2 linked regions of the Danio rerio genome follow. The protein of the gene in region 1 interacts with the protein of each later gene in a pairwise test. Links are inferred from orthologs where the notes say so. Each region holds a gene or a part of one and is shown on either strand. Other genes may lie near its edges.

Region 1 (4,632 bases):
AACATGTATAGAATTCTGTGCTTCCCACCTTCTTTATTCAGGATCAGCTGCAATGACTTCTGGGACTTCTCGGGGGAGTTTTGTGTTCAAGTCAGTGCATCCTCGATATTAAGAAGATATGCGGGAACTCTCACGCATCCTCTGTTCTTGCGGTCTTGGGTTTTAGAACTGAACTTTGGCAGCTGATGTTGGCATTACATGAGAACATAAAGACACAAAACCGGTGAAGAAAGCATATTAAGAAACAACCACCGTCTTCATGAATGAGTGATAGAATTACTGACTTGCTCTGTTTGTTTAAAAACAGGTTCATTCAGGATTAAAACACCACAGTGGTAGTGTTTGGTAGTTGTTCTGCTCTTACTTTGTTTGGGTTTTAAAAAAAACTCATATACAATATGTAAACCCGCTCAGTTTTAACTTCCAGTTTGTTAAACTGCGGAATAAAATCAAAACAACATATGCGATGATGCTCGCTGATATTGGAGAAAACCACACTTTGTGCATGTAATGACTTTTGTATTACCAACACAATCTCACTGCGATTCGAATCACTGATTGATTTAGTGGCTAATTTGTGTGAATATTTACGACCTCATTCGTATAATTTAGTACGATTTGCTCATCTCCAGTGACGGTTGGTTTGTGTTGGGTGTGGCGGCATGCCTCATTTTTAAAATGTGAATTAGCCAGTAAACTGACAAAGCAAAAAATAGTTACTTTCCTTTGTGAGATCAGGCTGGTATTACATGTCTTAACATATTACAAAAAGCAAAACCAATACACTACTTTTTGCTTTCATAACTCATATTATAGTGCCATTTTTATAGACTTCATCATACAGTCAATCCTTTCAAGATGTGTTTGTGTGTTTGTCAGCTCACACATTATTAGAGCCGCAATTACCATAATTATTGTATTCCATAAATATCACACACCCTAATTTCAGTTAATAATTTACAACTATTATTTAGCCAAAGTGCTTTATACATTGTCAGTTCACCAATATTTACACCTGCACAGACTTATAAACATTATAAAGTGTTAGGAGTGACTACAGCATTTAAATACTGAAGTGAATCCCTAAATTACACCATACTGAAACCACAGCAATTATCTGGCATCTCAAGCCTTTGGTATCTGATATTTTTTAACAAAAGTAATATTACATAAACCAAATATTCATTTTGATTTGTAGTTTTAACCAATTTATTGTCAACAGAAGCGTTATACTGTGTTAATGTTTAAGGTTTTACACAGTGTGCTCTTGAAGTGTTGCCATGTCCACTTATTATAAATGTCTTTGGGCTTACTGTTTAGGATACTCACATAAACAGAGTTGATGGAGTTTTGAAAGCAGGAAGGTGCAAGTTATGATACTTTGGTCTTGTCTTCAGAAGAAATCTTTTGTACCTAATTAAGTTTATTATTGTACTGTATTTTTCAAGCAATACCTGGCAACACAAACAAGTCAGGTCTAGTACCTCTTTTTCTGGGACTTTCTTGTATTGTGTGCATGCAAATGGGACACTCTGCTCTAATAAGTGTTTAAATGTAAGTAACAGTTCGTTGTTATGTGCCATACATACTGCATAGTTTCTTTCAGTGTGTTTGTCACAATGCGTTTGTCAGGAGTTAATTCAGTTACTGAATGCGGCTGTCACTCACATAAAATGCTGAACTATACAAACAGACTTGCGCATTAAACTTCAGATTCATTCAAAATTTTCTACATGGCAAAAATACAGCAGAGTTTATATACTAGAGTGAAGTGTAAAAGGGTGTTATTAGGTATTTGTCTGTCATCATCTCTAGTAAACTCGTCCTGCTGCAAGCTCCGGCATGTCACCTCATATCAGCAATGTGAGGAATTTCTCTTATTGTTTGTGTATGTTTGTTTCAACATGCACAATAGCTTCCACATAACCATTCTCTCATGAATTGGCAGTCTGTGCCATGGCTGTTTAAACGGTATTCTCAAAAACAAGGTGTGTGTGTGTGTGTGTGTGTGTGTGTGTGTGTGTGTGTGTGTGTGTGTGTGTGTGTGTGTGTGTGTGTGTGTGTGTGTGTGTGTGTGTGTGTGTGTGTGTGTGTGTGTGTGTGTGTGTGTGTGTGTGTGTGTGTGAGAGAGACTGTATTTGTAAGAGTGTGTGTGTGTGTTTTCCTCAGCCACATTTCTTTATCGTTAGGTTTTTAAATCAAATCATTCCTGATACTTTCGATTTACCAAAGTGCTGCATTTATTTAGGGTTAATTTCTTTTCCCTTTTTCTAGGCACTTGGAATGGCACGACTAAGGTAGCTATTAAGACCCTGAAGCCGGGCACCATGTCTCCCGAAGCCTTCCTGCAGGAGGCCCAGATCATGAAGAAGCTCCGGCATGATAAGCTCGTTCCGCTGTATGCTGTTGTGTCTGAAGAGCCAATTTACATTGTCACTGAATACATGGGCAAAGGTAGCTGACACTCTCTTTCTTTACTTTCTTCATGTGTGTTTATTTATCAGTTCAAGCAATGACACAGCAGCAACTTAATAATATGCAATAGTAATTTGACAAATTGATTTGAAACAGATGAAGTTTGAAACAGATGGCATAGATAGATAACTACATATAGGTTAGCATGTTTCTAGTTTGGATTGGCATGTTTCTTGCTAAGTGGTTTATGGGGTGTTCTTAGTAGTTGCTATAGTGCTGCTAAGTGGTTGCTAGAGTGTTCTAAATGGTTGCTAAGGCCTTGCTAGGGTGTTCTGAGGTGTTGCTAAGATTGTGCCAGGGTGTTCTATGTGGTTGCTAGGCTGTTGCTAAGGCATTGCTGTGGTGTTTTGACTGGTTGTTTAGACGTTGCTAGGCGGTTGCTAGGGTGTTCTGAGTAGTTGCTAGGCAGTTGCTTACATAAATTAGCATGGTTCTAGTATGAATTAGCATGTTGCTAGCATGTTTCTAGCATAAATTAGCATGTTGTTAGCATAGTTCTAATAATAATTAGCATGTTGCTAGCATGTTTCTAGTATGAACTAGCATGTTATTAGCATGAATTTAGTATGAGTCCAACCTTAAGTCACAAAGTTTGGTCCAATGTTAAGTCAGTGGGACTTGTCCAAATTTTCCAGGTCAGTTTTTGGAAAAACGAAAATTGGATCAGTTGAAAAAGATATAGCAACTTAATTCAGTATAGTTTGAAGGTTTGGAGTTGCGTTCCTAACAGTCTTAGAAAAAGAAGACGGAAGAAGAAGAATAAGTTTTGGTAGTATAACAGTATGTTGGCTTTCTCAATTCACCATAATAAAAAAGGGAAGGTTTTTTTAACGTTTTTTGCGTTTTGGAGACATGAAAACAAATTAAAATGGATATTAAGCTGCAAGATGTTCTAAAATTATTGTTTAATGTACTAAATTTATTGTCGCAAGAGTAATGTTAACACCATTACACAAATTATATATTTATTTTATAGATCATATGTTTAAATATAATATTTATGAATCCTACGTTTAGATAAAAAAAAAAAATTCTATTAAATGTGAAATAGTTAAAAAAATTGTTATTATTAAGAGGTGACATACTGCTTTGGTTCAAAAAGTTAAATTGTTTTCTGATATCTGCATGAGTAGGTATATGCCTTAGGTAAGTTCAAACCTTCTCCAGAAATGGTTTTAATTTATATACTCGTTTGTTACCCCCATAAAATGCACCACAATCAGAAAATCCTTATTGACCATATTAGGTTGGTCATGAATGTTAATGAACTCCGCTCTGATGCAGCTCACAGTACCTTTTTCTTTCTCTTTAATGTGTGCAAAATAATCATATTTAATGTTGTGTTTTAGCTACGAAAGGCTGTGCTACATTATATAGTTGGTTTTTAATTAATGTTGTAAATATCTTGTCTTTGTATCATTTAGGCATGGGCCGGTATAAGATTCTGACGGTGTGATAACCTTGGATAAAAATATTTCGATTTCATGGTATTACGGTATTGTGCTCACTGCTCTAAAATATCTTCTTTTTAAATGTCTGGGTAAAAAAACTAAAACTTTTTTCCCTTTAAAAAAAACTCAATATATTCTATTTTTCTTTTAGATTTATGATATTTTGGAGCAGTAAACACGTCAGGCTATATAATTCAAATAAATCATTGATGTTTTCATTTGTTTTAAAAACACAGATTTTTTTTTACAGTTTGAAACGGCATCTTTACATATTTTTTAAAAATAAACAAACCTAAAAAACAACAACAAAAAAAAATGTAAATAAAAAATCTTACATATACATTAGAAGCGTTATTACAGATTTTTCCAAACCACAGTATACCTTAAGAACGGTTATCGTCCCATGCCTAGTGTCATTTATAATACATGTTGGAAAGATCTTCAATCGATACCTCTGTCTTTCAGGGAGCTTGCTGGACTTTTTGAAGGAGGGTGAGGGTAAATACCTCAAATTGCCCCAGCTGGTTGACATGGCTGCCCAGGTAAGAGAGAGAAACCCAAGCACTGTTAACCAGCCAGCTTTGTCGTCCTCTTCCACATTTAGTAACACACACATCCACCCGATTATGAGCAGAACCTGGATGGGCTGCATTCTCCCAGAGCGCCATGGTTTCAGTTTCAGATTCCATCTGCCTGTCATATTTAT
Region 2 (4,466 bases), on another chromosome or scaffold:
CTTTAAACCTTGTTTAAAGGTTTCTATTATAGATTTTGATTTATATATACTCGCTCCAGTTTATTAATAGCAAGAAATGTCAAGATACAAATAAAATTGCAAAGGAGCTGAAGTTAACTGAATAGTAAAATATAGCTGTCAATTGGGTAGATTAAATCAACTAGTTATATTGTCATTGTAAATGTTTCAGTGTTGAAGTTGTGTTTTTATTTATTTTAATTATGTAACATATATATATTAGTTAATTTTATGTTATTAGTTACATTTGTATTATTTGTGGGGTGACGCGGTGGCTGGGTCAGTTGGCGTTTCTGTGTGGAGTTTGCATGTTCTCCCCGCATTCATGTGGGTTTCCTCCAGATGCTCTGGCTAAGTCCAAAGACATGCGGTACCGGTGAATTGAGAAAGCTAATTTGTGCGTAGTGTATGTGTGTGAATGAGAGTGTATGGGTATTTCCCAATGATGGGTTGCAGCTGGAAGGGCATCCGCTGCATAAAGCATATGCTGGATAAGTTGGCAGTTCATTCCGCTATGACGACCCCAGATTAATAAAGGGACTAAGCCAAAAAAAATAAATAAATGAATTATTCGGATGTCATGTTTAAATTGTATATTTGCTGTTGTTTAATAAAAAAAATAATAATAATAAAAAATAAATAAAATCATAGAATTTATGGCTTCATAATCTAAAGAAACTACTAAAAATATATTCATTCATTTTCTTTTCGTCTTAGTCAGAATATATATATATATATATATATATATATATATATATATATATATATATATATATATAATTATTATTATTAACATTTTTTTTTATATTCCATGGCTGTTAAGTTTATTTTGACCCTGCCTCTTTCTTTGATTTTTCAAAGTACAGCACATGGATCCAAATTCTTTAAGAACATACATTTACCCAGTGAATTTATTATTTATTTATTTAACCCTTTCATGCGCTACATGGGTCTAAAGTGACCCGTCTAAGTTTATTTTTTTACATTTTTCTATATCTATTTTATAGCTTGTGCATCAAAGGGTCAATAATACTTTATTGTACTGTACTGCATATGATGGTGTACTGTATTTATCCTTGTCTGTATTGCTGTAATGTTTCTCATAATAAAAATACTGTCTTTTTTAACTTCTTTCACTCTTTCTTCAACATCCCAAAAGTTGTATAGAATATGAAATATCTGTAAAAATATTAAAATTATTATTTGATGGTTGTTGTTATCAATGTTTTAATTATGTATACAACTATTATTAGTGTTTTAAATGTTTGAAAGCAGTAAATGTAAAAACTCTGTACACTTAAATTCTGCACAAAACGCACAAGAGTAACGTTAAAGAGAGAACGTTTTGTTAATTAATAATAAAAATACTCTCCATCCTATCTTCTATCATCCATTTTTGCTGTCATTGTTTTCTTTCTTTCTTTCTTTCTTTCTTTCTTTCTTTCTTTCTTTCAACACCCTGAAAGTTGTATAGGCTAGAATATGAAATATTTAGAAAATTATAAAAATTATTATTTAATGCTATTATTTATATTTTAATTATGTAAACAACTGTTATAGTGTTTAAAATGTTTGAAAGCAGTAAATGTAAAAACGCTGTGTTAAAATTATGGACAAAAAAAAACACAAAAGTAAAAAGACAGAGAGTTCTGTTATTTAAATATGCTAGGCGTCTTTGAGCTTTGAAAATCTTACAGACCTGAGCTTCCCCTTAGTAGTGGAGTATACACAGAAACATGTAAAATGCTTTCTGGTTCTGATGGTAGACAGTATTTTATATACTGAGATTGCACCATTACACTCTACGGACTTTGTGAAGTATTTAGTGAATACCACATATACGCAAATTTGGAATCGAAGAGTGATTATCGCACGCAAACTGCGCAGCATTTTACGTAAGAGCTTCCGCGGTTGCGAGCGTCGTGAACGCAGCCTCATAAAATGGCGGATCGCGGCGAAGGTAAATAAATTGGCTAACCAAACATTTGAATGAATAGTCTCGATTGGCAGCGTGTTTGTTTCACCGGATTTATCGCGTGCAACAAGATTCCGAGTGTTTACACCGTAGAAGAGCAGCATAGGTTTCGTTTATTTTGCCAGCAGCCGTTCAGTCTATACAGATACAACGCAGCTAAATTCAACCATACTGTTTTCATTCTCATTCGTCTTTCCATTCGCGTGCTGGTAAATTCATTGACACTTATTAATGCAAACAAATTAGTGTAATCACATCGTATTAATTTGAAATGTCAAAGGACGTGAACCTTAATGGTTGAAAATTCGTATATTCAGTGTTTACAAAGCTGGATCATGTTTGTCATCAGAGAACAAACATAGAATTACAGTATTCGTTTGTAACGACTGTGGTTAATGTTTTCACTTGTAGATGCAGAGAGTGAAGATGAATTGTATGAAGTGGTCAACATCACAGATTATGCCAGGAGGCATCAATGGTGGAGTCGAGTATTTGGTAACAGCACAGGTCCCATTGCAGAAAAATACTCTGTGGCTTCACAAATCATGATGGGTGGAGTGTCCGGATGGTTAGTGTTCATGTGAATGCTTTAATTTCTAATAAAACCCTTAATATTCCTGATTGTTATAAATAATAAAAAAATGTCCTTCTCTAGGTGTGCTGGATATCTCTTTCAGAGAGTTGGAAAGCTTGTGGCTACTGCTGTTGGAGGAGGATTTCTTTTGTTACAAGTATGAGTTCTTAAAATTAAGTTATGCTTTTAATTAGTATATGTTATGCTCAATGACATTTAATTTGTTAATCATCTATTTTCTTATTTCAGATTGCCAATCATAGTGGCTATGTGCAGGTGGACTGGAGGAAAGTGGAAAAGGATGTCAATAAAGCTAAAAAGCATTTGAAGAAAAATGCCAAAAAAGCTGCTCCTGAGCTCAATACCTTTATAGAAGATGTGGGTATACTTTCATATGCTTGTCATAATTTCATATACTATCTATTAGCTGTTATGACACTTCGCTTAACCTACATTTTGTTCTACAGTCTACAGAGTTTGTGAAGAGGAATATTGTTATCTCAGGAGGATTTGTTGGAGGATTTCTGCTAGGCCTGGCATCCTAAATGAAACCTGGATGTACTGTATTGCCTCTGATATGAGTACAGTAATATTGTCCCTTATCTTGGTATCACAGTGATACAGCACTGAAACATGTTGTTTGTTCAGAAGCAGTGAGTGCAATGGACATTTGCTGGACTTTTTTAATATGTTCCTCTACAATGTTATACAATAGCTAAAACATCCTGCAGGAGAGAGATATATTGTGCCAATAACTTTATAGAAAATTGTGGCTTTTATTTTGTTCATTTTATTTTAATTAGTGATAATGCATTCATTTGTTACATGTACAACTACTGAAGTGTTTCATATTGTATTTTGCTTTTGACGGTACATTATTTGAGGTAGATGTATCATTTCCCTAATATATTGTCAAAATGCATGAATTGTTTTGACGTAAAGATAAAAATAATGTTGTGGAAATAATAAAAAGTCTTTCTGGTTATGTATAGACTATTTGTACTTTTTGGTTTGTTTGTTTGTTCCTAAGTTCTAAAGTCGGCATTAAATCAGAATTAGCTTTTCTAGTTTTATATTTTTATAGTGCTTGTTATTAATGTGCACTTCATTATTTTGTAAAAAATAATTTGCCCTTATTATGTTTTATCCAACACTATAACCTTCTCTGCCCCCTCGAAATGACTTTTCTTTACTTTTGGTCATATGGATTGCCTTTAGGGCGGGACTATCAGGGCGTGTCTCATTTCTGTTCTATTTTGGGCAAAGTAGATGGGTTACAGCTGCGGGTATGCACATCAATATAGCATCATTTTTGTAAAACTTTATAACAGTAATTAATAGTAGACATTAATAAAATACCCTGTACAACTACTGTTTTCATGTTACTGTGACAGTAGGGGTAGATGTTAATGAAAAACAATAAATGGGAAATTTAATACATAATATAAATAATTCTTGTTTACTTCCGGCCACAACCGTATGTGATCTAGCAATAACCCTACTTTTGTCTACTTATCAGTCTTCCATCATTTTGTTAGCGATGCCTATCCTCCAATGATCCAATCAGTTCCTGAAGGTTTTTTTCTCATTTCAGAATCGTTTCAATTTGATATGAAAAACAGGACAATCTTAACATCTGTTTTATGGTGAATTTAAATGACAATATATTGTGTTTGGATGAATCTGAGTGTTTTACAGTGTTGCAAAAAACAACGACTTTAAAAAGTAAAAATAATAATAATAATGTATCTGTGTGGGTTAAGTTATTAAATGCTACCCTGCAGATTTTTACAGTGGTACATTTCTAAGAAAAAAAAAGGAAAGAAAAAAAGGCTGTTTAATCAACAGTCATAACTGAAAAAAGTTACATGACAAAAAAATGTCAAGGTGATTTTTTTA

What was found. The genes of interacting proteins can lie anywhere in the genome.
Region 2: the proteins of yes1 (region 1) and fundc1 interact in binary tests that used the Homo sapiens proteins (3 or more experiments, as listed by UniProt). The two-hybrid records come from large-scale screens. The link is inferred for Danio rerio from reciprocal best matches to the Homo sapiens genes YES1 and FUNDC1.

Annotation. Positions count from the first base shown.
Region 1 is NC_133177.1:34,311,833-34,316,464, forward strand, and holds part of yes1 (tyrosine-protein kinase yes), read left to right. Parts: intron 1-2,274; coding exon 2,275-2,454; intron 2,455-4,391; coding exon 4,392-4,468; intron 4,469-4,632. UniProt on the Homo sapiens protein: Non-receptor protein tyrosine kinase that is involved in the regulation of cell growth and survival, apoptosis, cell-cell adhesion, cytoskeleton remodeling, and differentiation.
Region 2 is NC_133184.1:35,473,222-35,477,687, reverse strand, and holds fundc1 (FUN14 domain-containing protein 1), read left to right. Parts: upstream 1-1,919; 5' UTR 1,920-1,959; coding exon 1,960-1,978; intron 1,979-2,404; coding exon 2,405-2,561; intron 2,562-2,648; coding exon 2,649-2,724; intron 2,725-2,816; coding exon 2,817-2,945; intron 2,946-3,034; coding exon 3,035-3,112; 3' UTR 3,113-3,561; downstream 3,562-4,466. UniProt on the Homo sapiens protein: Integral mitochondrial outer-membrane protein that mediates the formation of mitochondria-associated endoplasmic reticulum membranes (MAMs).